2 linked regions of the Callithrix jacchus genome follow. The protein of the gene in region 1 purifies or fractionates together with the protein of each later gene. This does not show direct contact. Links are inferred from orthologs where the notes say so. Each region holds a gene or a part of one and is shown on either strand. Other genes may lie near its edges. The genes, in order: SLC39A7 and FAM174A.

Evidence for each region.
Region 2: the proteins of SLC39A7 (region 1) and FAM174A purify together in Homo sapiens (co-immunoprecipitation; 3 studies listed by BioGRID and IntAct, with this or other methods). This does not show direct contact. The link is inferred for Callithrix jacchus from reciprocal best matches to the Homo sapiens genes SLC39A7 and FAM174A.

What each region holds. Positions count from the first base shown.
Region 1 is NC_133505.1:41,435,625-41,448,557, reverse strand, and holds SLC39A7 (zinc transporter SLC39A7), read right to left. Parts: upstream 4,972-12,933; 5' UTR 4,917-4,971; intron 4,611-4,916; 5' UTR 4,607-4,610; coding exon 4,196-4,606; intron 4,108-4,195; coding exon 3,939-4,107; intron 3,787-3,938; coding exon 3,733-3,786; intron 3,596-3,732; coding exon 3,431-3,595; intron 3,300-3,430; coding exon 3,159-3,299; intron 2,950-3,158; coding exon 2,753-2,949; intron 2,322-2,752; coding exon 2,049-2,321; 3' UTR 1,424-2,048; downstream 1-1,423. Other genes in the region: HSD17B8 (estradiol 17-beta-dehydrogenase 8), read right to left, coding at 1-26, 130-215, 316-408, 518-634, 736-953, 1,140-1,191; RXRB (retinoic acid receptor RXR-beta), read left to right, coding at 5,379-5,610, 6,426-6,673, 7,374-7,530, 7,897-8,076, 9,232-9,404, 9,788-9,917, 10,120-10,252, 10,356-10,459 and 2 more. UniProt on the Homo sapiens protein: Transports Zn(2+) from the endoplasmic reticulum (ER)/Golgi apparatus to the cytosol, playing an essential role in the regulation of cytosolic zinc levels.
Region 2 is NC_133503.1:109,908,925-109,921,331, reverse strand, and holds part of FAM174A (membrane protein FAM174A), read left to right. Parts: intron 1-5,697; coding exon 5,698-5,832; intron 5,833-9,421; coding exon of another isoform or gene 9,422-9,437; exon of another isoform or gene 9,438-12,407.

The sequences.
Region 1 (12,933 bases):
GGACAGAGTTACAGCGGATCCCATGTCTGTGAGAAGGAGAGTGGCTGCTGATTCTGGAGAGGACTGGAATGCTGGTCCCTCCCTCAGACCCCCCAGGTGCTCTCCAGGACCCTCAACCATCTGACCAACCGTCCAAGCTCTCGGGCTGCAGTCTGGGTTAGCCCAATCACTCCGGCCTTGGATGCTGCATAGTTTGTCTGTCCCATGTTCCCCACCTATAGATGAGTCAGAGATGTGGAATGAGTCAGCAGTCTCAAGGAGGGGTTCTCCTTTCTATGCCACTTGGCTGGCTGACCTCGTCCAACTCAACCTGACCTTTCCTACGATGCTACTGATGTTGATGATGGAACCACTGCAACCACTGGACACCAGGGCTTGGCCTGCAGCCTGAGTGACTAGGAAGGTGCCCTGGCGGGAAAGGGTAACAAGGGAGAAAAGATCAGCTGGGATGACAGCCCTCCTCCGACTCACCCCCCAGACTAAGGTGGCCAAAAGTCGCAGGTTCAGAGATCACCACCTTGAGATTGACAGCTATGACTTTGTCCCAGTCATCCTCAGACATGTGCAGCAGAAGCTCATCCCGGGTGATGCCCGCACAGGACACAACGACAGATGGTGGGCGAGAAAAGCAGGCCTATGGGAGGGGGAGGTTATGCATCAAAAAAAACCCACAAAGAGCCGGGGCAGTGGCGGCAATATTAGAGCTTTAAAGAGAGAACGTGGCCTGGCGTTCACCTGCACTTGTTCCAGCAGGCGTCTGGCGGCACTGCCCTCAGACACGTCAGCCTGGAAGGCAGCGTGGTTCCCTCGGGGCGGCCCCTGCTTGCTCCCTGGCCCGCCCAGCAGCCGCACTGTCTCCTGTGCCGCTGCCCCGTCCAGGTCGCAGGCGGCTACGGTGGCCCCCTCTCCGGCCAGGCGCACACTGACCGCCCGGCCGATGCCGCTCCCCGCACCTGAGGTAGGACAGAACACGCAGGGACCGGGCAGGGGGAGGAGAGGGCAGGGATCAGAGGTCACAGGGCAAAAAGTTAGTAAAATGTGGATAAGGGGCCAGAGGTTACAGGGGCCGTGGACTCCAAGGGCATGCCCCTGACATCACTCCAACACCCCAAACCTTCCCGGGAGAGCACCCCCTCAACCTGTGACCAAGGCCAGCGCAGAGCGGAGCCGGTGCTGGAGCTGAGACGCCATGGCGGACTGTGGGTGGGTGGGAACCCCAGCACTAAGCCAATCCTAGTGCAGAGGGGGCGTGGCGAACGCAAATCCGGGGCCAATCGAAGCCCCGACAGCCTTAGGCCATCTGCGGCCGCCAGCGCTGGCCGACCTCCCACCGCGGGGGCGTGGCCAGACACTGCTGTTTGGGGGCCGACAGTGTGGGGAAGACAAGGGGCCCCATTCCCCCCAAAAAGACAAAGACTCCATGTGGGGTGAAGATCTGAGGACTTTATTTCTGGTCTCCACCCCTCCTCCCCCTCTATTCAAACACAGTGATATAAAAAGAATACTAACAAAAAAAATCAGGCCGTGATATTACCAACCCTCCCCCCCGCCCCCCGCCCGTCCCCCAAATCACTCCCAAATCAGGACACACGATTGATGTTTATGTTTATCCCCGACTACTCCTGTTACCCTCTCTGTCCAGGACTCTGGTCTTTCCTGAAGCCTCTACCAAGTGGTGGGAGAAAGGGAAGTGGACTTTGCAGAACTTTCTGTGTAGCAACTTGGTTTTCTAACAGGTGGGGTAGGGGACACCAAGTAGGCTGCCATCATCCCCTCTCCCAGCCTTCTTCATGGCCCCATTTAGACCTCCAAATGCAACAACATGGTCAGGTGGTGCTCAACACTATGTTCCCTCTGGCCTCTCATTCTCACCTCTACCGCCTCTGTAAGACTGCCAGCCCTTGAAGGCCCTAATGACAAAGTAACCATTTTCTCAGGCTACGGTTCCTTCCTTTGGTAGATGTCCCTGGCCAGGGCCCCCAGCCTCCACACACCCCTGACCTAGAGTGAGGGGTAGAGGTTTGGGGCAAGGTAGTTTATCCCACCCCTCACTCGAGGTGGGCAATCAGCACCATCATGACAACTCCCCCCAGCAGCCCCAGCACCTCCAGAAATGACTGCAATGGTGATGCCTCCCTCAGCAGCTCTGGCAACACAGACACTGTTGCCACGTAGATAAAGCCACCCGCAGTAAATGGCAGGACCCAGCCAGGACCTGCACCACCTGCAACTTCACTGCCCACTGTTCCTCCTTCAGCGAGAAGGGCACAGGCAGTGCCTGCCAGTGCCCCTACTGCTGTCAGTAGTTGCAGACGCATTGCCTGATGGGCAGAAAAGAGAAAGAGACACTCACCAACAGCTAAAGATTATCAGTGGGTTTAGAAGTAGCTGGTGGGATATAGGTGTAAGGGACATGGATTTGGAAACTAAACATCAAAGTAAAAAGGGGGAGGGTCTAGAATAGACAATTTCTGAAAAAAATCTTAGAGATCAGAGATCCTTTCCACAGACTTTCTGATTGAGTAGGTGTGTGTGTGTAAGACTCCACTAAACCATTCAGATTGTTTATAGACCATAGTTTAAGAAATACTGAGCTAAAGAAAAGAAACCAGAACTTCTTCCCACTCATTTCTAGGGGACTTGTCAATGATAGCATGAATTGTTTGGAACTAATAAGAGGCTGTTTTGGGTTTAAGGTGAGTGAGCAGAAACAAAGGGTTTGAGGCAGCAGTGTTCGGCAGACATCACCAACCTGCTTTTTGCTGCAGCCAGACTGGACCAAGATGGCAAAGTCTCCAACCTCATGGGGCACTTCATGTAGCAGGACAGTCATTGTGGTCAGGATCCCTAGTCCCCGACCCCCTCGAAAGGAAGCCCCAATGGCCAGACCATCAGTGAAGTTGTGTGCCAAGTCAGCAGCCAGATTCAGGTATCCTGACACACGCAGGTCTTGTACAGGAAAAGAAGAGAAAATGATCAGAGGCCTCCATCACCAGTTGTTCCAGTCTTGGTCAGCTATCCTCACATCTCCCCTCAGAGACCACTTCACACCCAGTCCCTTAGTGTTTCCCAGACACCTTCCATTACCCATAGCACATATTCCATGTGATTCGTGAGGATGTCCCTTGCCCAAATTTATCACCAACTCTGGCCCTTACCTAAGCCTCTTTTTTCTTCTTCAGGCTTCTGAGGTCTCACTGGCCCATCTTTGGGTACTGTGCTTCCTCCTCGCCTCTTCTGGACACCCCCCGTTTCCTTTTCTTCTTCCTCTGAGCTCTGCTTCTCCTTGGTAGAACGCTCTGAGGGAAGAAAGGAGTTGGTCAGAGTGGAGAACAGATCTTCCAATATGTCCTCTCCCTCCTGAGGGCCATAAGATGAGGCGATTCTGAGGCAGGCAAGTCAGCTTTTGGAAAGTTGTTCCTGGGCTCACCCTGTCTTCCATGTCCATGACTTCCACGTGTGTGACTATGAGCATGTCCATGTCCATGACTGTGTCCATGTCCTCCTTTCACATGTCTCACGAATTTCTCCACGACCAGAAAGGCAACAATTCCACTGAGAACCCACAGTCCCACAGATAGAATGGGGCCCTGGCCTGGGAATAGAGGCATTGAGACATTAAGGGAGATGTGCATTCCAGACTTCTCCTCCTTAAGTGCAGGAGGTGAGGAATAGGGAGAGACGGACCTTCCCCAGCACCCCAACTCCTGTCCCCATCTGTCTCTTCCTCACCACTGTGGGAGTGTCCATGTCCAGGTTGCTCCAGAGTGTGGTGAGAATGAGGTTCTGGAAGAAGGGGGGGAAGCCAAATGAGGGAATATCTAACCCAAAGGGTGTGTATTTGGGGGAATATCGGAAGATCAGGAATCAGAAAGGAGAAAGAACCCTTAAAAGAACAAAATACGTTAGATTTGAGGTAGAAGTCAGAGGTTACTTACCAAGAGCATGAGGAATGAGGTGCAGGAAGGCGTCTCCCAGGAGCCCACCAGAAGCAAAACTGAGCAAGATCTGAAGTAGAGAGCGATGCCGGGGAGAGTTTGACTCCACAGGGATAAGGAAGAGGACAAAAAATGGAGCTGCTGAGATCAGCACTGTGGCCCCCAGTGCCTGGTGAGGGAGAATCAGGGTCAAGTACTGTGGAGTTTCCCGACAATCCAGAACCAGCCCCTCTCTCTCCCATCCCCTGGAAACTCACATAAGCCCAGAGAGTGACAGCATCCAGGTCCTGCTTGATGCCCAGAGCCCCAGACTCCCCATAGCCTCCATGGCTATGGTCATGGTCATGTCCATGTCCTCTGTGGTAGAGGTTCTCATGGGAGTGGCCATGGCTATGGCCATGGTGTAAATCCTCATGTGAATGTCCATGGTCGTGACCGTGGGTATGTCCATGCCAGATGCTCTCGTGAGTGTGGCCATGGCCGTGGGCATGGTTGTGTCCATGGTGGAAATCTTCATGTGAGTGCCTGTGGCTGTGGCCATGGAAGTCTTCTTGCAGATCGTCGTGCAGGTCGTCATAACCCCCGTGTCCAGCCACCAGAAGCCCCAAGGCTGCCCAGGTCAGCAGTCCCACGGCCACCCAGCGGGGGGCCCCCAGACCTTTGGCCATCACGCTGACCAGAGGGACAGAGACAGTGACTCCACTTGACTCTCAACTAACTCTATACCTACACAGGGTCCTCTTTACTCCAGTCGCGCTCTCCGTCCACCTCTATGGGCCGCTCTCCCATTCCCTTAAGTTTCCACCTACATAGTTCCCAAGACTAGTTCTCTTTATGCCGAACCCCCTCGCGGATGCAGGGCTCTGGGACACTAGTCTTTGACCAGCCACTTTACGGACTCTCTGGGCCCTCGTCTCTATGGCTCATTAGGTGAGGGAATGGCCTGGAAGGGATAGAATGGAAAAACAGAATTCTCACCGGCTCCGGGATCCTCTCCTTTCCCCGTTTGCTTGGACGTGGCAGTCCCGCCTTTAGCTCCCGCGAGAACAGGAAGTTCCGTTCCACCTTCGCCCTAATGCCTTTACCAATATGGCGGCACTCCGGTAGCGACGAAGCCACCCTGAGCTGACGCGCATGCGCGAGCCTGGAGGTTATTTGAGGGGAAGGTGGGCAAGGCGGGCTAACAGGCTGGAGGAGACCGCCTCCTCGGTTTCCAACTAGACGAGGGGGCGGGAACTTGCGCCGACACTTCCCGTCTGTACAAAGATGGCTGCCACATTGGCGCTGTCATTTTGGTACAGAGCAGAACGACAAGCTTAATTCCACCCAATCCAGGCCAGAGTCGTTTTCTCAGGTGCTTCCTCGTGCTCAGCTAATCTTCCGATCAACTCTTGGGAATCTCTGGCACCTCTTCGATATCCCTACTCTCAGCCAGGGATCATGTCTTGGGCCGCTCGCCCGCCCTTCCTCCCTCAGCGGCATGCCGCAGGGCAGTGTGGGCCGGTGGGGGTGCGAAAAGAAATGCATTGTGGGGTCGCGTCCCGGTGGCGGCGGCGACGGCCCTGGCTGGATCCCGCAGCGGCGGCGGCGGCGGCGGCAGGCGGAGAACAACAAACCCCGGAACCGGAGCCGGGGGAGGCCGGACGGGACGGGATGGGCGACAGCGGGCGGGGTGAGTGTCCCTGCGGAAGGGCAGGCAAGCCAGTGACCGCGTTATCTGCAACCCCCTCCCCCACACCCTCCCCAGTGCTCTTTTCCTGGCGCTCCCGCCCCCTTGTTTGTAAACACGCGTCCCTTCCCTCCCGAGGGCCTTAGCGCCCTCCTCCCCCCAGGGCGGGGCGGGGAAGGGGAGCTTCAGATCTCCTAGCCTTGACCGCTTGAGGCCTGGGGCACTGGAGGTCGCGGGCGTGGGAAGGGCACGATTCCTCTTAAGCTTCAGGACTTTGGACGTTTGAAGGCAGATTCTGCGTTATAGGAGGGGTCTCTCCCACCTCTTTCCCCTGTACGCCCCGGCTACCCAGCTTTACGCTGGGAATAGAGGGGCTGGATGGGTACCCCACGTGCTGCCCCACCCACGAGACAGGTGTGGCTTGGGGATGACCTGGTATTCATTCAAATGGATTGCTTGGAAGATGTTTCTCAACTGAGCTATCCTCCTCTCCTTGTCAACTCCCTCCTCTCACCACAATGAGGAGTACCTTGTTTTTTTGTTTTTTCAGCCAGTCAAATATAGCAGTGGGAGGTTGTATACCAATTTTAGTGACGCTAATGTTAGTTCTGATAACGCACTCATCGGACCAGCTGGAGTTATACTGTTTTTTGACAGCAGGATGTCTCTGGACTTAGGGATGGATGGAGTGGGCTGGGTCCAGGCACGGTGGGGTACTAGAGAATTAAAGTCTCTACTTGGATGTTTGAAGACTCATTTTCTTTTTTTGTCTCTCCTGTCTCTGTGTGTCTGTGTGCCTGTACATACCCCTCTCTCAGACTCCCGAAGCCCAGACAGCTCCTCCCCAAATCCCCTTCCCCAGGGAGTCCCTCCCCCTTCTCCTCCTGGGCCACCCCTACCCCCTTCAACAGCTCCATCCCTTGGAGGCTCTGGGGCCCCACCCCCACCCCCGATGCCACCACCCCCACTGGGCTCTCCCTTTCCAGTTATCAGTTCTTCCATGGGGTCCCCTGGTCTGCCCCCTCCAGCTCCCCCAGGATTCTCCGGGCCTGTCAGCAGCCCCCAGGTGAGAGGTTGTGACCGACTTACTGCCTGGCCACTTTCATTTCCTTGTTTTCCTTGTAACCCCAAATCCTTGCGTGAACTTCCCCATGGCTCATTGACCTTCTAATCCTCTAATCTTGGCAGGCCTGTGGTCTTTGTTGAGACCCCTTGCCTTTCCTGAGGTGACTGAACTTTCAATGCATGCTTCCTCCACTAAAAGAAATCTTAATATTCCTTGGTTTTTGTGTGTGGTTTTTTTTTTTTTTTTGAGATGGAGTCTTGCTCTGTTGCCCAGGCTGGGGTGCAGTGGCTCAGTCTCGGCTCACTGCAACCTCTGCTTCCTGGGTTCAAGTGATTCTCCTGCCTCAGCCTCCTGAGTAGCTGGGATTCCAGGTGTCTACCACCATGCCCAGCTAATTCTGATATTCTTCATGTCCTTTTCATCTATCAGTGATTTTCTGCCCGTTTGGTCCCATCTGCTTTCCCAAGACACCTGCCCTTCAGGGTCACTGTGGAACAGCACAATTTCAGGGGGGTTCTGTTTATTCTCTTTGGGATTGTGCTCCAGGGATGGCCCCTCATGTAGACTACAGTGTAAATGATGCCCTCTGGAATGTGCATTGTGGGACTTTGCTTAGTAGTAGGGAATGATTTCCATCACTTCTATGAGATTCTCCTTCCCAATGAGTCTTCCTGTGACTTCCCTATTTCCCTCATCCCAGATTAACTCAACAGTGTCGCTCCCTGGGGGTGGGTCTGGCCCCCCTGAAGATGTGAAGCCACCAGTCTTAGGGGTCCGGGGCCTGCACTGTCCACCCCCTCCAGGTGGCCCGGGGGCTGGCAAACGGCTATGTGCAATCTGCGGGGACAGAAGCTCAGGTATGGGGCTCAGAGGATGAAGAGAGAGGGAGAGTCTGGGCCATGTATCACCACTTGTGGGATTCCCAGGGCTTATGGGGTTTGGTCAGAGCAAGTGACCTGGGGGAGGCCTGATAAGAGTAAAGAAGCTGAAGATGAGATGTGGGATGCGATTAGGGGGAAGGTCAGAGGGAAAAGGGAGTGCAAACGTAGGGATTCTGAACAGTGAGGGGACTGGGACTGGATCATCACTCACCTCCTGGTACCCTATCTCTGTATTTGGCAAATGTAGAGAGGACTTTAAGTTTTGCCAGGGGGAGATTAGGAAGAGACTAAATGGTGAAGGTGTCTCCACGCAATCTTATTGCTCTTCCCTTTTCCCTGTAGGCAAACACTACGGGGTTTACAGCTGTGAGGGTTGCAAGGGCTTCTTCAAACGCACCATCCGAAAGGACCTTACGTACTCTTGCCGGGACAACAAAGACTGCACAGTAGACAAGCGCCAGCGGAACCGCTGTCAGTACTGCCGCTACCAGAAGTGCCTGGCCACTGGCATGAAGAGGGAGGGTAAGGACCTGCCCTGCCCAGGCTTCTTAGACCACATGCCCCTTCTCCCCTACCCCGCTCAAGACTCTACCTCTCTGGAAGGCTAAAGGGTGATATTTGATTTCTCAAATCAAATATCCTCTAGAGGGCGATATTTGATTTCTTTCTCCCTTCGAAGCTTTTCTCCCTGTTACCCTGCTCTGGCCCTTGAGTTTCCTTCTTACTGGTTAGGCCTTTGTGGTCTACACCTATGACCCCTCCCTAGACTGGTCTTAGGATAACCTTTCCTTACCCGTGATGGGCTTTCTGTCTCCCCTTTTCTAACCTGAGTGGTTCCTCCTCTCTGATTCCATGGACCCTCTCTGGTCTCTGTCTCCTGTTATCTGTGATCTTTCCTCTAACTCCTGGGACTCGACACTCTTAAGCTCAGGGATTTCCTTCCTTATTCTGTGTCTCCATCTTATCTTCTTAAGTCCAATTCGTAGAAGTCTGAGACAGACACTTGAGAACGTATCTTGGTCAAAATCCCACTTTAGAGAAGATGAGCCTGAGGCCTGGCTTTTCCAAAGTCATGCAACAAAGGAGTGGCAGGCAGTTCTGGGATCAGAACTCACATCCGTGAAGACCTAGGCCAGTACTCCTTTCACTGCCTATTTGCAGAGTCAGGAGAGTACAGATTTGCATTCAGACACACTTAGATCCAATTGTATGACCTGCCATTACTATATGAATTTAAGTGAGCTGTTTAACCTTTTTGAATCCCAAGTTCCTCATCTTTAAAAATGAGAATAAATGCTTCCAGCATAATTATGATAATAGAGTGAATGTTAAAACGTGCTTAGCATGTTTCTTTCCATGTTTTTTTATTAAAAATTTTTTTTCAATCAGCTTTTTCAGGTTGAATCTTGGCATATTTTTTAACCATGTAGTAGGCTCTCCATTTAAATTCCTCCCTGATTCTTTTACCCTCCTCACCCTTCCTGACTGACTTATCTGCCCTTTTATAACCCTTGCTTCAGGGCTGCTCCCAGTCCACCCTTTCTAGTGACTTCTCCAATTTCCATAAATATTTCCCAAGGGCCATGAGATCCTGATGAGGCCCTAAGGATACTTGTGGAAACCCTTAATGGCTGGCTGCTGACTCTCTGTTTTTTTCTCTCCCTCTTTCCCCTGCAGCGGTACAGGAGGAGCGTCAGCGGGGAAAGGACAAGGATGGGGATGGGGAGGGGGCTGGGGGAGCCCCTGAGGAGATGCCTGTGGACAGGATCCTGGAGGCAGAGCTTGCTGTGGAGCAGAAGAGTGACCAGGGCGTTGAGGGTCCTGGGGGAACCGGTGGTAGCGGCAGCAGCGTGAGTGTTGGGGTCAATTCACTCTCCTTCATGATGGGGGTAGGGGGAGGTAGTCTAGGTCTGTTCTATATCCCTTCTCATCCTTTCCCCTCATAACCTTCCTAACACTGCTTGGGACCAGAAGTGCTGCCAAACAAGGTCTTTCAAATATCTGAGGTGGATATGATAGCTCCTTCTGTCTCTACTCCCCAAAACACCCACTGGCAGAACCACAGGCACTTCCCAAATAAATAATTGCTTAAACAAATACCAGAAGAGAAGCCTGACTTACAGGGATTGGTTTGGATGGGGCTCACAGGAAGACTGTATGTAAGGAGCCTCTTACTAGGGGGTTCCCAGCATATCTCAAAATCTTCCGTAACTCTTACCCCCGTCCCCTGCAGCCAAATGACCCCGTGACTAACATCTGTCAGGCAGCTGACAAACAGCTATTCACGCTTGTTGAGTGGGCGAAGAGGATCCCACACTTTTCCTCCTTGCCTCTGGATGATCAGGTCATATTGCTGCGGGCAGGTCAGTGACCTTGGATCCCTTTGACCTCTTGACATTTGACCCCTTTGACTTTCCAACCTTTAGTGACCCCAGTGGCCTTACCTTGTGTCCTAAGGGAGCCAAACTTGCTGACCTCGCCATATCTTTTCTCCTTCTCTTCTACTGATGTGCTTTGAATCTCTTGGCCTGATTTCTGGCTCCTGACCCTTGCTGCCCCACCCAGGCTGGAACGAACTCCTCATTGCTTCCTTCTCCCACCGATCCATTGATGTTCGAGATGGCATCCTCCTTGCCACAGGTCTTCATGTGCACCGAAACTCAGCCCATTCAGCAGGAGTAGGAGCCATCTTTGATCGGTCAGTGGCCCTCGGCTAGGCTGGCATGTAGATAAAGGGGGTGGGGCTATAGGCTGGTCCGTGTCCAAGGCTGGCTGAGCTGTGACCTTTGAGTGACCTGCAGGTCCCTCTCCAGGGTGCTGACAGAGCTAGTGTCCAAAATGCGTGACATGAGGATGGACAAGACAGAGCTTGGCTGCCTGAGGGCAATCATTCTGTTTAATCCAGGTAAGAGGAGGATTACCTTTGTTTCTCAAGGCCAAGGCACCCTTGGAGCCTCCTCTTCTCCGAGACTCCTAAGTTACCCAGCTATCCCCCTCAGTAAGACCCTCAACCTGGAAATCTCCCAACTGGCCAAGGAAAAACCCACATCCGTGGATGCGTCCCACAAACCCAGTAGGCCCTGCTTCCCTTGCCAGGCCTCTGGTAAAGGGCAAGCAAGTGCGGACCAAAAGGGACATCGTGTGGCTCACATCTACGCAGCTGTACTGATTTGATTTGTGTTCATTTCTCTTCCTCCTCTCTTCCGTGCCATCCTAGATGCCAAGGGCCTCTCCAACCCTAGTGAGGTGGAGGTCCTGCGGGAGAAAGTGTATGCATCACTGGAGACCTACTGCAAACAGAAGTACCCTGAGCAGCAGGGACGGTGAGATGGGGCTGGGGGGACTGAGGCTCCCTCACAGGTGGGGAGTGCCACGAGGATGTGTTCAGAGTCCGTGTGCTTCCAGCTCTCACTCCCCTTCTTCCACCTCCACCCCAGGTTTGCCAAGCTGCTGCTACGTCTTCCTGCCCTCCGGTCCATCGGCCTTAAGTGTCTAGAGCATCTGTTTTTCTTCAAGCTCATTGGTGACACCCCCATCGACACTTTTCTTATGGAGATGCTTGAGGCTCCCCATCAACTGGCCTGAGCTCAGACCCAGACATGGTGCTTCTCACATTGGAGGAGCACACATCCAAGAGGGACTCCAAGCTTGGGGCAGGGTGGGGGGGGGCCATGTTCCCAGAAGCTTGATGGGGTGAGAAGTACAGGGCAGAACCAAGAACATAAGCCCTCCAAGGGATCTGCTTGATATCCCAAGTTGGAAGGGACCCCAGATCCCTGTGAGGACTGGTTGTCTCCCTTCAGTGGCCTTGAGTCTCTGAATTTGTCGGGGTCTCCCATGATTTGGGGTAGTTTCTCACCCTCTGTCCTTCTCCCAGCACAAAGCACTGGCCCTGCCCCTGGGACCTTGCTTCCCTCTCATCTTGCCTCATTTTCCTTTCCATCTGAAGAATGGAAATGGGGAACTCCCCAAGAGATGGATATTGGTGGGCAGGCCCCCCAAACTGATGGACATAAGCGTAGGGCCCTGACAGGCCTTCCTTTTCTCCAGCCTGGCAGATGGGGGCCTCTCTGGGAGAGGGAGGGTCCCCTGTGACTGTCTCCTGTCCAGAGTCTCTTTTTACACTTCACCTCCTTCAGTCAGACTGAAATATAAAAAAGGTGGTGGTGGTGGTGAAGGGGCTGGTGGAGATGTAGGAACCGATCTGCTATTTTTAACTTCCTCTGAGGATAGAGACTTGCAGTTAGACTCAAAGAAGTACTGTACTTTCCCAGGTTGACTAAGAAATGCCAGTGGTGGAGGTGGGTGTTTGGGAAAGGCAGGGCCCTGAAATGGCCTGTCCCTAGGGCTCTCCAAGCACTAGCCTTCCCAGCTTCCCCCCCACCCCATCTCTTCCTGTCTGACTTGGGGAAGGGGCCTGGGCTGTGAAGACAGGGCCCCCACAGGGGACGATTTCGTGAGTATAGTCCCGGAGGCCTTCCCTTCACTGCTCTCCTCAAGCCATGGGCACATAGTGTAGGCTAGGGACATGGGATCCTGGCCTGAGAATTGAGTGGGGGGTGGCCAGCCCGCAGAGGTGGGGTGCTGGGGCTGCATGATTTTTGCCCTGCGTCTCTTCTCTTTGGGGTTCCTTCCCCCTCTCACTCATACATAAAATCGCTTTCAAATTAAAATCGCTGTTTTCTGGACCGAGGTGACTATATAAGGATGGGCAGCGCCGAGTCGGGCTTGGGGGGGTATCCGGTTGGGAGCTTCGGACGCGATCCCTGGACGCCGCCGCCGAGGTTCCCTGGGGCCTGAGAGGCGGGCGCAGGGTGGGGGACACAAGGCGAGCTTTGTCGGGGAGGGGGAAGAGGGTGTGCCAGGCTGGGGGCGGGGCCGGCCGGTGGAGGAAGGGGGGCGGCGGATTCTCAAAGGCGCCTTGTTCGCTCGTGCCCTCCCCGCGCCAGCGGGCGGCGCCTCGGCTCGCTCCGGCCTTCCCTCCGGCCGCGCCGCGGGCTCCGGGCAGACCCGGCGCCGTGCCCGCTCATGGGGTCGCACTGGGCACCGAGCGCCGTGGCTTCCTCAGGCGTTGCCTGCCCGAAGGCGGCCCACGTCCTTTAGTGACCCCATTTCCCTGGACCCTTCCAACCAGAGTCGCCTGCTCCCTTATTTTACCATTGCTCCCCCTCTACCTGGGCTCTGGGACTCCCTTACCTTGTCCCCCACGTGCATCTCCTAGGACCTGACTAGCCTGTGTTTATCGGTGGTCCCAGTCTCTGGCTCCCGGAAGAACACCTCCCCGCCCATCCTCCGCCCCAGTTCGCCACTATCTACAGCCTGGTCTATAAATAACCCCGCCCCGGCGGCCGGGCTCTATAATTACACGGGGCGGGGCGG
Region 2 (12,407 bases), on another chromosome or scaffold:
CCTTGTGATTATGGCAGCCATGGAGATACACGGATCAGACCTTTTTTCAAGAGAACATGCTACAGGAAGTAAAGTTGGTTGACATCCTCTGCTGTCACAGATTTGGGTCTATCACAGCATTCGTGCCAGGGTGGTAACTCCTAAGCTTGACCCTAGCCAATGACTGAGTAGAGCAGAGCCTGGCCATCCTCACTAACAGGGAACTCCTCTAATGGGCAACCTTTGCTTACAGGCATGCCACTGGCCTGGTCAAGATTCTTTCAAAAGTGCATTGCAAGCTACAGCTCGTTCTAGCTGGTCATCCTTCCTTTCCACTCTTTCATAGGTGTCAGACCTATATCACCCTTTGTGGGATCTCCTCACCTTCCCTTTTGTCTCTTTATCCTCCACAGGCCCTTCTCTAATACATCTCTTGTATTCTGTATTAATTTGTTAGAACCATTGCAAGAAAGTACCACAAGTGAGGTGGCTTAAACAACAGAAATTTATTGTCTCACAGTTTTGGAGGCAAGAAATTCAAAATCAAAGTACTGCCAGGGCTGGTTCCTTCTGAGGTCTACAAAGGAAGGATCTCCTCTGGGCCTCTCTTGATCTTTTCGATGACATCTTCATGTTCACATGGCATTCTGCCTGTGTGCATGTCTATCTCCAAAATTTTCCTTTTTATAAGGATATCTTGGATGAGGGCCTGCCTTCATGATCTCACTTTAACTCGATTACCTCTATAAAGTCTATTGCCTCAAAGTACATCCTATTTCTAAATAAGGTCAGGACTTCAACATATGAATTTTTGGAGGACATAATTCAAGCTGTAACACGCAAACACATTCCTTATTAGTGTCTGATTCTTGAAGAAGTCGGACTGACAACTGATGGATTGGGTGGTGGAAATGGGGAATAAAGATGAGAATGATGTCAATTTCATCAAAAGAATTTTTACTATGTGTCATATATTCAATTGGGTTGAATTTCCTGATGAATAGTATAGACAACTACAATTGTGATTCACTAATATTTATTCATTTATATTTCAATGGTTAAAAAAAGAAATTTCACATTTATTTTTGGTCACTAGTTCACTTTTTTCTAAAACTAGTTAAAACAAAAATTTTGTTTTAGTTATAGATTGTTATTTACTCTGTTTCATTGTTATGTCTAACCACACAGGGTAGTGTATGTGTCTGTATAGTAAATAATATATTCCTCAGTCTAGTTTTAAATGTGCTAAAAAAGAAATTAAGAATTATATTACCCTACAGATGCTCAGTTAAAAAAAAACAGAAGGGAAAAAATAAAATTAAGTAGATATAGCAAGTTACAACAAATTTAAATCAAACTAGATAGATATATCAAGTTACAGCAACTTATATTGATTGGTGTTCTCCCTTTCATAGAGCAGTGAAATGAAATGGAATTTTATTCTGTTTTGTTTATATGTCATCACGTATTTTTACATAAAATTTTATCAAGCTTACTTTTGTGGTTTGGCTTTATTTTGATACTCTAACTTATATATATGTTATTAGAAGGGAAGTCATTTTTACCAACCTGAATATATTGGAATATTAAGGAATCTGCATCTATATGAAGGCAGCTATTTGAATATTAACTTGAATACCTAGAAAGTGTCTGACCGGGATAATTTGTCTGAGCATACCATGTGATGAGTGAATGTAATTTTATATGAGTAATCATATAGATATTTTCTTTTGCCTGCTCAGGCTTTTGTACTTTCCTCTGTAAACACTTGTAGATAAAGTCCCTATTTTTATTTTCATTAGAAGCTGGCATAATTTGTTTTTGTATTTCCAAATGCATTTACTATGTCTAGTAGAAAAGTGTGCATATCTATGTCTGTATCTACATGTGTGTGTATATATTTGTAATTGTCAGCACGCATATAGACAAGTTTGGGTATCACAAGCTTAATGAAGACATTCATTTGTAGGAAAAGAACTGTGGCTATTAAAATTGCATAGATATTAAAGCTCTTTTTCTTTTGTTAAAAAATAATGTACAATGCATATTAAAAGACAAAGTCCCCTTTTTTATTGCATTTTAGGTTTTGGGGTACATGTGCAGAACATGCAAGATAGTTGCATAGGTACACACATGGCAGTGTGATTTGCTGCCTTCCTCCCCTTCACCCACATCTGGCATTTTTCCCCATGCTATCCCTCCCAACAAAGTCGCCTTTTTACTTAAAATGTTGGCGTATTTTAATGTATGTTTTATTTTACATTTAGTGTTTGTTAGTATTTTCAGTACTGTTTGTTGAATCACCCAAATTATTTTAAAGATTTATAATTGTTTTTTCCTACCTTGAGATAAATCACACCATATAATAATGTGGTGTGTGTGTTATATTATATTTAATATTTTTATATGGCCATGTAGCTATATGACCACATAGTTATGACTGCATATATCTTTGGACTGAGGAAAGACATTTTAAGAGAAATTACATTTCAAGTTTAAATTTTATTTAATAATATGCAGTATTCTTGACTCATTTTTAGATGAGTCAGTACATATAATAAAACAGTAAATTCGTTTAAATTTGAACTGCATCACCCATTGACTTGATGCCTAACAATATTCTATTTTTATATATGGAATAGATTCTAAACAACAATCCAAACTTGTTTCTAAATAGTTTGGATTCATTTTTAGAAGATAGTATTTACATATACAATTAAATTAAAGAACAGTATAAGCTAGAATAAAATAAAAGGTCCAAACCACTACAGTCAAATGTTTAGGCTGTACATGGATAGGGAAAATAGTATTATTAGGCAAACTAGTTTGACCACTCATTGAAAGATTGGAAATCATTGAAGGTATGGTAAAAACTTTGGATGTAGAGAAGAACATCAGATGAGCTAAATGTTGAAGTCTTTAAACTCTATGTTCATCATTTTTTTTTAAGACTTGCCAACATGTCCTGTGACTAACAATGACAGGTTAACATATTGACTGTTTGATATGTATGACCTGGAAGAATCGAGTTTATTTCCAAAAACAATTTCACATGGCATTAACTTCTTTTTTATTGACTAAAATTGTCAGAATGTTTGGAACCCATATGGCTTTGAAGACTGAGCAAAAGGCTGACAAAAGGAAAGAGAAATTATAATTCTCAATATCCTTAACTTATGTTGCCAACTAGTTTCACTCTTATGTAATCATTTTTAAAATCAAATGATTGCATGCAGGTATCATTAAATCATATGGTTCAAAAGCACAATAGTGAACTTACTTCCCTATATTTTTCTATTTTTTTTTTTTTTTTTTTTGAGGCAGAGTCTTCACTCTGTCTTCCAGGCTGGAGTGCAATGGCCCCATCTCAACTTACTGCAGCCTGTGCCTCCCGAGGTCAAGCGATTCTCTTACATCAGCCTCCCAAGTAGCTGGGATTGCAGGCACATACCACCACACCTGGCTAATTTTTGTATTTTTGCCAGACACAGGTTTTCACCATGTTGGCCAGGCTGGTCACGAACTCTTGACCTCAGGTGGTCTGCCCACCTCAGCCTTCCAAAGTACTGGGATTACAGGCATGAGCCACCATACCCAGCCTATTTTTCTAGTTCTACTTTCCATAGACAATAATTTTATTTTTTTTTCTTTGTTTGTTTGCTAATTATTTTTATGAGTCTAAATCAGAGGCTGTCAAAGTATAGCCCACAGGCCAAATTCCTTCTGCTGATGTTTTTGTAAGGCCTAAGAACTAAGAATGTCTAGCTATCTATCTAGCTATCTGTCAATCTATCTATCTATCATCTATCTATAGATTTTTAAGGGTGGGAAACAAAATGAAAATTTAAATGAATACATAGCAGAATGTGTCCTACAGATCGTCAAATACTATCTAATTTTTTTACAGAGGAAGTTTAGACCTCTGGTCTACATGGTGTGTGTGTGTGCACACATACACACACATATACTTAATGTAACAACCTAAACATTAATTTCTCACCATGAAAGAACAAGTTCTTTTTACTTCATACTGCTTCATTTTTGCTAGTACTAATATTTATTGACTCTTTTATTGGGTACATTTGTAACTTTAAATACTATGCTTAACTTTGTTTCCTGTTCCATCACTTTGTATGTGTATATATATATATAGCTCTATAGGTAATGATTGATAGAAATTTTCTTGGTTTCTGTTCGTTCACACTTTAGTAACATTTTATAAATTTTAACACTGAGACCAGGCAGTTTATATCCAGAAGCTACTACCATACCTGATGCTTAGGAAGACTCAAGTATTTGTTCAAGGTCTTTTTCCCCCCAGGGGCTTCACTGTCATGTTTGAACAGGCTCACGTTGCTCTTTACAGTTGATATTATAGCTTAAGTATTTCTTATTCCACTTACTATGTTATGCAGATCAAATCAGGATTTATGCAAACTAATTTTATTTGTGATAACTTGCTGAAATATTTTCTATTTTATTTTTAAATTCCAATGGACACTCTTGTGAAACACATTTTCCTATGTGTGGAGTTGAAGTTATTGCGTTGGAGATGATTTAGGCATTCCTTTCAGGGTCATGGTTTTGGATTGCCATGGTAGAAGTCACTCAGACCTTCAATAATTAATTGAGGAATATCTTAATTGATATATCACTGTACTAGAAAGTGGTTATACAGTGGTGAATAAAGCAGTTTTCGTTGCTGCTCATATAGCACTTAGTGGGAGACACAGGTGAATAAACACCACATAGATATATACATCGGCACATAGGAATGAAAATTAAGGAAAAGAATAAGTTATTTGAGACACCAACTGGAAGTAGGGCTCTAAATCATGAGATTTCATAAACACAGCTAATAATAATGAATGTTAAGCACCCTTGAATCTTTTCAGTTTCTCTAAGGCAGTGGTTCTCAAACTTGAGTATGCATCAAAAGCATAAGAAATGTTTGTTAAAACACAGGTTTCTGGGCCACATCTTCAAAGTTTGTTGTTAACTAAGTCTGGGCTAGCCATGAAGATTTGCATTTCTTATAAGTTCCTAGGTGACTGTTATTCTGCTGATCCAGAGAAACACACTGCAAGGACCACTGATCTCAGATAGTGGTTTTATATCACATTGGAATCACATTTAGAATCTCAACAAAATATTGATATGTAATTCTTTTTGCTGTGCTTTTTGATTCAGTTATAGCCTAAACATGGGGCTCCAAAAAATACCCCCAGGTAATTCTGGTGTATGGCTAGAGTTGTGAGCTATCAGTCTAGTCTGTGAACATGGATATGCATACAGTTTCTTAGAGGGGCATCTTCACAGGGGTAGGAAAGCATGGAGGACATGGGGAAAAGGCTGGAACAGGATGTTTCAATAAAGGAGTACCTGACCTAAGCCTTTAAAAATTGAGGCTTCAAGTATGGTACTTGAACTAAGGCTTAAAAGTTATTTGTCAACACCATTGGTTGACACAGGGAGAAGAGAGTATGTCAAACAGAAGAAACAGGTGATGGCACATAAACATGTAGGAGTAGGTTTTGTTTCATGAAATTTAATCCCAGATGGTAAATTTGTTGCATATATGAAATGTAACCATTCTGATATTGAGTGCTTTCTATGTCAGAAACAGAATGAAAATTTATTTTAATTTACAAATAAATATAAACTAAGGATCCTCTACACCATATTAAATAATTTTTATTAATTTGTTACATTTAATAGGATGAGAAGAAGAAACCGAAAGACTAGGAGATACGGAGTTTTGGACACTAACATAGAAAACATGGAATTGACTCCTTTAGAACAAGATGATGAGGATGATGATAACACATTGTTTGATGCCAATCATCCTCGAAGGTAAGTATTCCAGTAGTTTAATTCCATGAATCTGGAAGCAAGACTTGTGAAGTAAACTGAAGAAGTAAAGCAGACTTTCATTTAACAGTTTATATTCCAACACAGATTTTCTTCAGTTCTGTTTAATGAAGTTATCTTTCCTGTCTACCCCATAGCTCACATTCACATTGTTTTGCTGAAATAGATACCATCTCAAAATAATTCTTAAAAGTTTATTTTCCTTTTTTTTAACTTTTAAGTTCAGGGGTACAAGTGCAGGGTTGTTACATAGGTAAAGTTCTGTCATGGGGTTTTGTCATACAGATTATTTCACCACCCAGGTATTAACCCTAGGACCCATTAACTTCGTCATTCTTGCATTTTGTATTAATTTGTGTGTGTGTGTCTGTGTGTGTGTGTGTCTGTGTGTGTGATACTTAGTAAATTTAGTTTCCTTTTTGTATTCTGAAGATACTTTGTTTTTAGTTTGGGTTCCAGTGTTGTGTAAATAGTGCTGCCTTGCAGAATTGGGGGGGCTAAATGTTTATGGTCTGATCATATAGCTATAATATCTATACTGAGATCTATTCTCGCTAGATGTTAAGAACTTTCCTAAGAGGTTTGGATAAATAAAATGACATGAATATAAAATAAATCCCAATGCAAATAGAATGGGGAAAAAAGGGCAACAAAGATTCAGCCTAATAAGGAAAGACATATTGGAATACAGAGGGATTACTTGGGTGAAGGAGAATTAGAGTCCAGAGTCAGGTACAAATGCAGAGAAAACAGAAATCTTGGGAATACAGAAAGGATGATGACTCAACAAAAATTGGACTCTTAAATCCTGTATATCTATATCTACATCTGTCTATCTATATAGCTAAGCTGTTTATACACACACACACACACACACACACACACACACAAAGGAACTTTTAGTAATGCTGGTCATTTATTCATTTAATAAAAATATGTTCATCAGTTATACATTTTAATAGTATTACTGTCTGGATAGGCAAACATGAATAAAACAATTGTATCTGTTCATTAAGAACTCATTTTCAATTTAAAGACACATGTAAGATGAAAGAAAAAGGACAGAAAAGGATATTCCATGCAAATGGTAACCAAAGCAAAGCAGAGGTTGCTAAATTTATATCAAACAAAATAGATTTTAAGTCAAAAACTATCTCTTGAGACAAAAAAAGATCATTACATAATAAAAGAGTCAATTCAACAGGATACGACAATTAGTATGACTATATCAGAGCACCTAAATTATAAAGCAGATATTGACAGATCTGAAGCAAGAAATTGACAGCCATAAAATAATTTAGGGGACTTTCATATTCCACTTACAATAATGAATAGAATATCTAGACAGAAAATCAATAAAGAAACCACTGACTTAAACAACACTATAGACTAAATTGACCTGACAGACACGTTTACAACTTTGCACCCAACAGTGGAAGAATTCACATTCTTCTCAAATGCTCATGGCATGCACTCTAGGATAAATCATGCTGGGTCACAAAAAAGTCTTAGCAACTTTAAGATGATTGAAATTATTCCAGGTATCTTTTTCAACCTCCATAGAATAGAAATAGAAATCAATAACATCAGGAAAACAGGAAAATGTATAAATATGTAGAAACTAAAAAATATAGTTTGAATATAACTCCAGGCCAAATCTCACGTCACTTGTAACCCTCCATGCTGGAAGTGAAGCCTGGTGAGATGCTTGGGTCATGGAGACTGATCACTCATGGCTTGGTGCTGTCCTCATGATAGTGAGTTCTCATGAAATCTGGTTATTTTAAGTGTGTAGTAACTGCTCCTCCTTGCTCCTGTTTTTGCCCTTTGAAGTACCTGATACCATTTCATCTTGTACCATGAGTAAAAGCTCCATGGTACCTCCTCAGAAGCCAAACAGATGTCAGCGCCATGCTTTTACAGTCTGCAGAACCATGAGCCGATTAAACCTCTTTTTGTTATAAATTGCCCAGTCTCAGCTATGTCTTTACAGCAATGAAAGAATGGACTAATACACTGAACAACACACTCTTGAGCAATCATTCGGTCAAATAGGAAATCAAAGGGAATTTTAAAAGCTATTTGGAAACCAGAAATATGTGGCATAACAAAACTTACAGGATGCAGCAAATGCAGTGCTAGGAAAGAAGTTTATAGCAGTAAATGCCTTTGTTATGAAAGAAGAAAGACTTCAGATAAATGTTTGCCCTTTAAGAACGTGGCAAAAGAAAAATTACCCTAAAACAAGGAAAACAATTAAGATTATAGTAGAAATACATTAAATGGAGTTGAGAAAACCAATGAGAAAAATAAGTGAAATTAAGATTTTGTTTTTAGAAAAGATAAATAAAATCAATAAACCTTTAGCTAGAACTAAGAAAAAAAGAAAAGGCTCAAATAAATAAAATCAGAAATAAAAGAGAAGAAATTACAATGGATTTCTCAGAAATTAAAAAAAAAATGGCATGAGACTATTATGAACAATTATATGCCAACAAATTTGAGAACCTAGAAAAATGGATAAATTCCTAGAAACGTACAATCTATGAAACCTGAGTCAAGAAGAAATTCAAAGTTCAAACACACCAGTAACAAATAAGGACATTGAGTCATTAGTCAAAAACATTCCAACAAAGAAATTTTCAGGACCATATGACTTCATGGGTAAATTATACCAAACATTTATAGAAGAATTAATACCAGTCCTTCTCAAATTATTCTGAAAAATAGAAGAAGAAACACTTTAAAAGTCATTTTATGAGGCTAGTATTTCCCTAAGCCAGACAAAGATGCCATAAGGCAAGCAAACTGCAGGCCAATATTTCTGATGAGCAGAGATACAAAAATCCTCAGTAAATGCTAGTTACCTAACTTCAGCAGTATATTAAAATTATGATACACCATGACTAAGTGGGATTTGTCCCTGGAATGCAAAGATCTTTCAACACATGCAAATAAATGAGATAGAACACAGTAATAGGTTGAAAGAAAAAACTACAAGATCTTATCAGTAGACACAGAAAAAGCATTTGACAGTGCTACCCACAGAGACAAATGGGGTTACATCAAACTAAAAAGCTTTGGCACAGCCAAGGAGATGATCATCAGAGTGAAAAGAAACTTAAAAAGTGGGACAAAATATTTATATTATTATAAATATATATGTGTATATATGCATTTGTTAATATCTAACATTTATAAGGGATTGCATGTATATGTGTGTGTGTGTGTGTGTGTGTGTGTGTGTGTATGAGTTAACATCTAAAATTTATAAGAAATGCATTTAACTTAGTAGCCAAAAATCTCAAATAATCTGATTTTAAAATGGGCACATGACCTCTTTTTGGGAATGTAAGTTGGCACAGCTATTAGGGAAAACAGTATAGAAATTCCTCAATAAATTATTATTTAGCAGTTTTACTGCTAGATATCTATCCAAAGGAAATCAGTATTGCATAGAGAGATCTGCACACCCATGTTCACTGCAGCATTATTCACATTAACCAAGTTGTGGAAATAACCTAAATGTGCATTGACAGATGTATTTGTCCATTTTCATACTGCTTTGAAGAAATATTCAAGAATGAAGAATTTATAAAGAAAAAGAGGTTTAATGGACTCACAGTTCTGCATGGCTGGGGAGGCCTCACAATCATGGCGGAGGCAAAGAAGGAGCAAAGGCATGTCTTACATGACAGCAGACAAGACAGCATGTGCAGGGGAACTGCCCTTTATGAAACAGATCTCATGAGACTTATTCAACATTGTAAGAACAGCATGGGAAAAACTCGCCCCCATGTTTTAGTTACCTCCCACCAGGTTCTTCCCATGATACTTGAGGATTATGGGAGCTACAATTCAAGATGAGATTTAGAGGGGGACACAGCCAAACCATATCACAAATAAATAAATTTGAAAAGTATGAGATGTATATGTATGTATAATATATATAATTATATGTATAATACACTATTGAATATTATTCAGCAAAAAAAAAAAGAAAAGAAAATCTGGACATTTGCAACAACATGGATGAACCTGGAGGAATTAATGCTTTGTGAAACAATCCATACATAGAAAGACAGATATTGCATTATCTCATTTATATGTGGTATCTAAATAGTCAAGCTTATAGTAATGAATAGAAATAGGGGTTGCTAGGGGCTACAGAGAAGGGAAAATATGAAGATGGTAAGTCAGGGGGGTCCAAAGTTTTAGTCATGCAAAATGAGTAAATTCATTTATGTGAGATGAGTAAGTTATGCAAGATGAATAACTTCTTAATGGACAACAATGTGAATATATATAGTTTACAATACATTACGCTATTGTATATTTTTAAGTTTTCTAGGAAAGTAGGTGTTAAGTGTTCTTGCTACACACAAAAATATGGTAATCACATGAGGTAATGGATATATTGATTAGTGTGATTGCAGTAATTCTTTCATACAGTATATGTATATCATAAAATCAAGGTAAACACTTTAAGCATACCCAATTTTTATTTGACAATTGTACCTCAGTAAAGACGGAAAAATAAAAAGCTCATGAAACAGTTGTAATCTACGCTAATCACCAATTCTATAGATTACAAAAAGTCATTTTGAAAATTGTAACACAAGGGAAACTTTGATTACAAAGTTGTGTTTTGAAGATTACTCTGACTTGCATGGGTTGAAGGAGACCAAGATAAAGAGTAAGGTGACAAGGAATAAAAGTAGTTAGATGGTACGGATGCATAAGATGACTTGCATTACAGTAACAGCAGGAAAGGCAGAGCGGAATCAATTATTTAAGCGGTTTTGGAAGGTATTAAATTACCTTCCTTAATTACCATCTTAACCAAGATATAGGTGTCCTGTTTGAGAGTGAAAGAATGAGAATTGGTTATAATAATCGTAAAGCATGTTTCAGGGATAAGAATAAAATCATCTTGAGTTTTTTAATAATCTGACCCAATTTACTTAATAAGAAAAAACTTTAATATATATCTAAATAAACTGACAGGAACAGTGTATTTCTATTTACCTTTTCATTCATTTATCCAACAAATGAATGATGTAGCAGTTATTTATTTGCCAAGCACTGGTCTAGGTATTTGAGATACATTCGAGAGCAGAACAAAACCAAACAAAAAAAAATTCTCACTTTGTGAAGTTTGTTTGTGAAAAGATGAGTTAGAGAGGTTAACAATTCATTTTTCATCTTTAGTTTTTCTTCTATACCTATCTGATGTTTTTTTTCAAAGAACATATATTTATGCATTACTTTTAAAAAAAAATCTTTTGTCTAGAAATAATTTTAAACTTACAGAAAGTTTACAAGAATAAAAACAGTACAAAATATTATATGCTTGTTTTTCAGATTTATTAGTTCTTAGCATTTTATCCTATTCTCTTAAGTGGTCTTTCTTCTGTCATAATATATATACAGAAGAATTCATACCTCTCCTTTTGTGTTTATCTGATGTTCTGATGTTTCCTCATAATTAGATTCAGGTTCCTCATTCTTAGTTGAAATACTTCTTAGTTCATGCTGTCTCTTAAAGGTATCATATCTGGAAACACGGATGTCCATTTCTACTTCATCTGTTTAAGCTTTGTCCAATTTCTCCACTCTGTTGATGATTTTTCCCCTCCATATCTAATAAGGAAACATTTTACAATCATGGAAATATCCTATTTCTCATCTAAATTTCTCCCTATGTTTAACATCTATTCATCACAATTCTTGCCTAATCTAATCTTCATTATGAAACTTAGAACATAATTAATTCAAACTTAATTATTTCTTTTCTGTTTACCAATCAGCATTGACATTCTCCTATAAGCAAAAACCTTCCCTTCTTCCTTGTTTGTCATCAAAATGTAATGATGATTTTCTCTCTGTCAGTTGTTCATAATTTATTGCTGTACTTAATTTAGTGCACATATGGTTCCAGATGTGGCCAATGGAAGCTTCTTCAAAATGGTTTCTGTCCTTGTAACTCAGTCCCATTTTTTTTTTTAAGTACCTTACTTTCCAGCCTCACAAGATAATCTAGGCACTTTTGGACTGAGCCTTGAAATGAGGCATTTCTCCATAGAGCCCTGGTTTCTTTGAATGGACACTAGGTAAAGTCTTTGGAACTGGGTTGACTTTGTTTCTGGGCCTTTCAGCACACAGTTCCATTAAATGTATGTATATACATAAATATACCTGTGTCCATCTGCTTTCATATACATACATATGTGCATACTTTAGATACTATTACTTAATACCTCCCATCCCAGTTTATCTCTACCGGGTTCTTGTTTGCCTTCTTCCTTTCCATAATTGTGTTTGTCTACTGTCATGAGATATCTGGCTTCAATACTTTTACAAATTCGTTTAGTCTTATAATAAAACTGAATTAGTTTGTGAGTTTCTTTGCTTATTAAAGAATTGCTTTGCTTAGAAAAAAACTTTAAAAACATTTATGAAAGTTTGCAGTTTTCTCCTCACAGTTCCATCATGTCCAGTAGTGAGGGCATGTAGTCAGATACTGTGTTCATAAATAATTGGTCTTAGTTATGTCC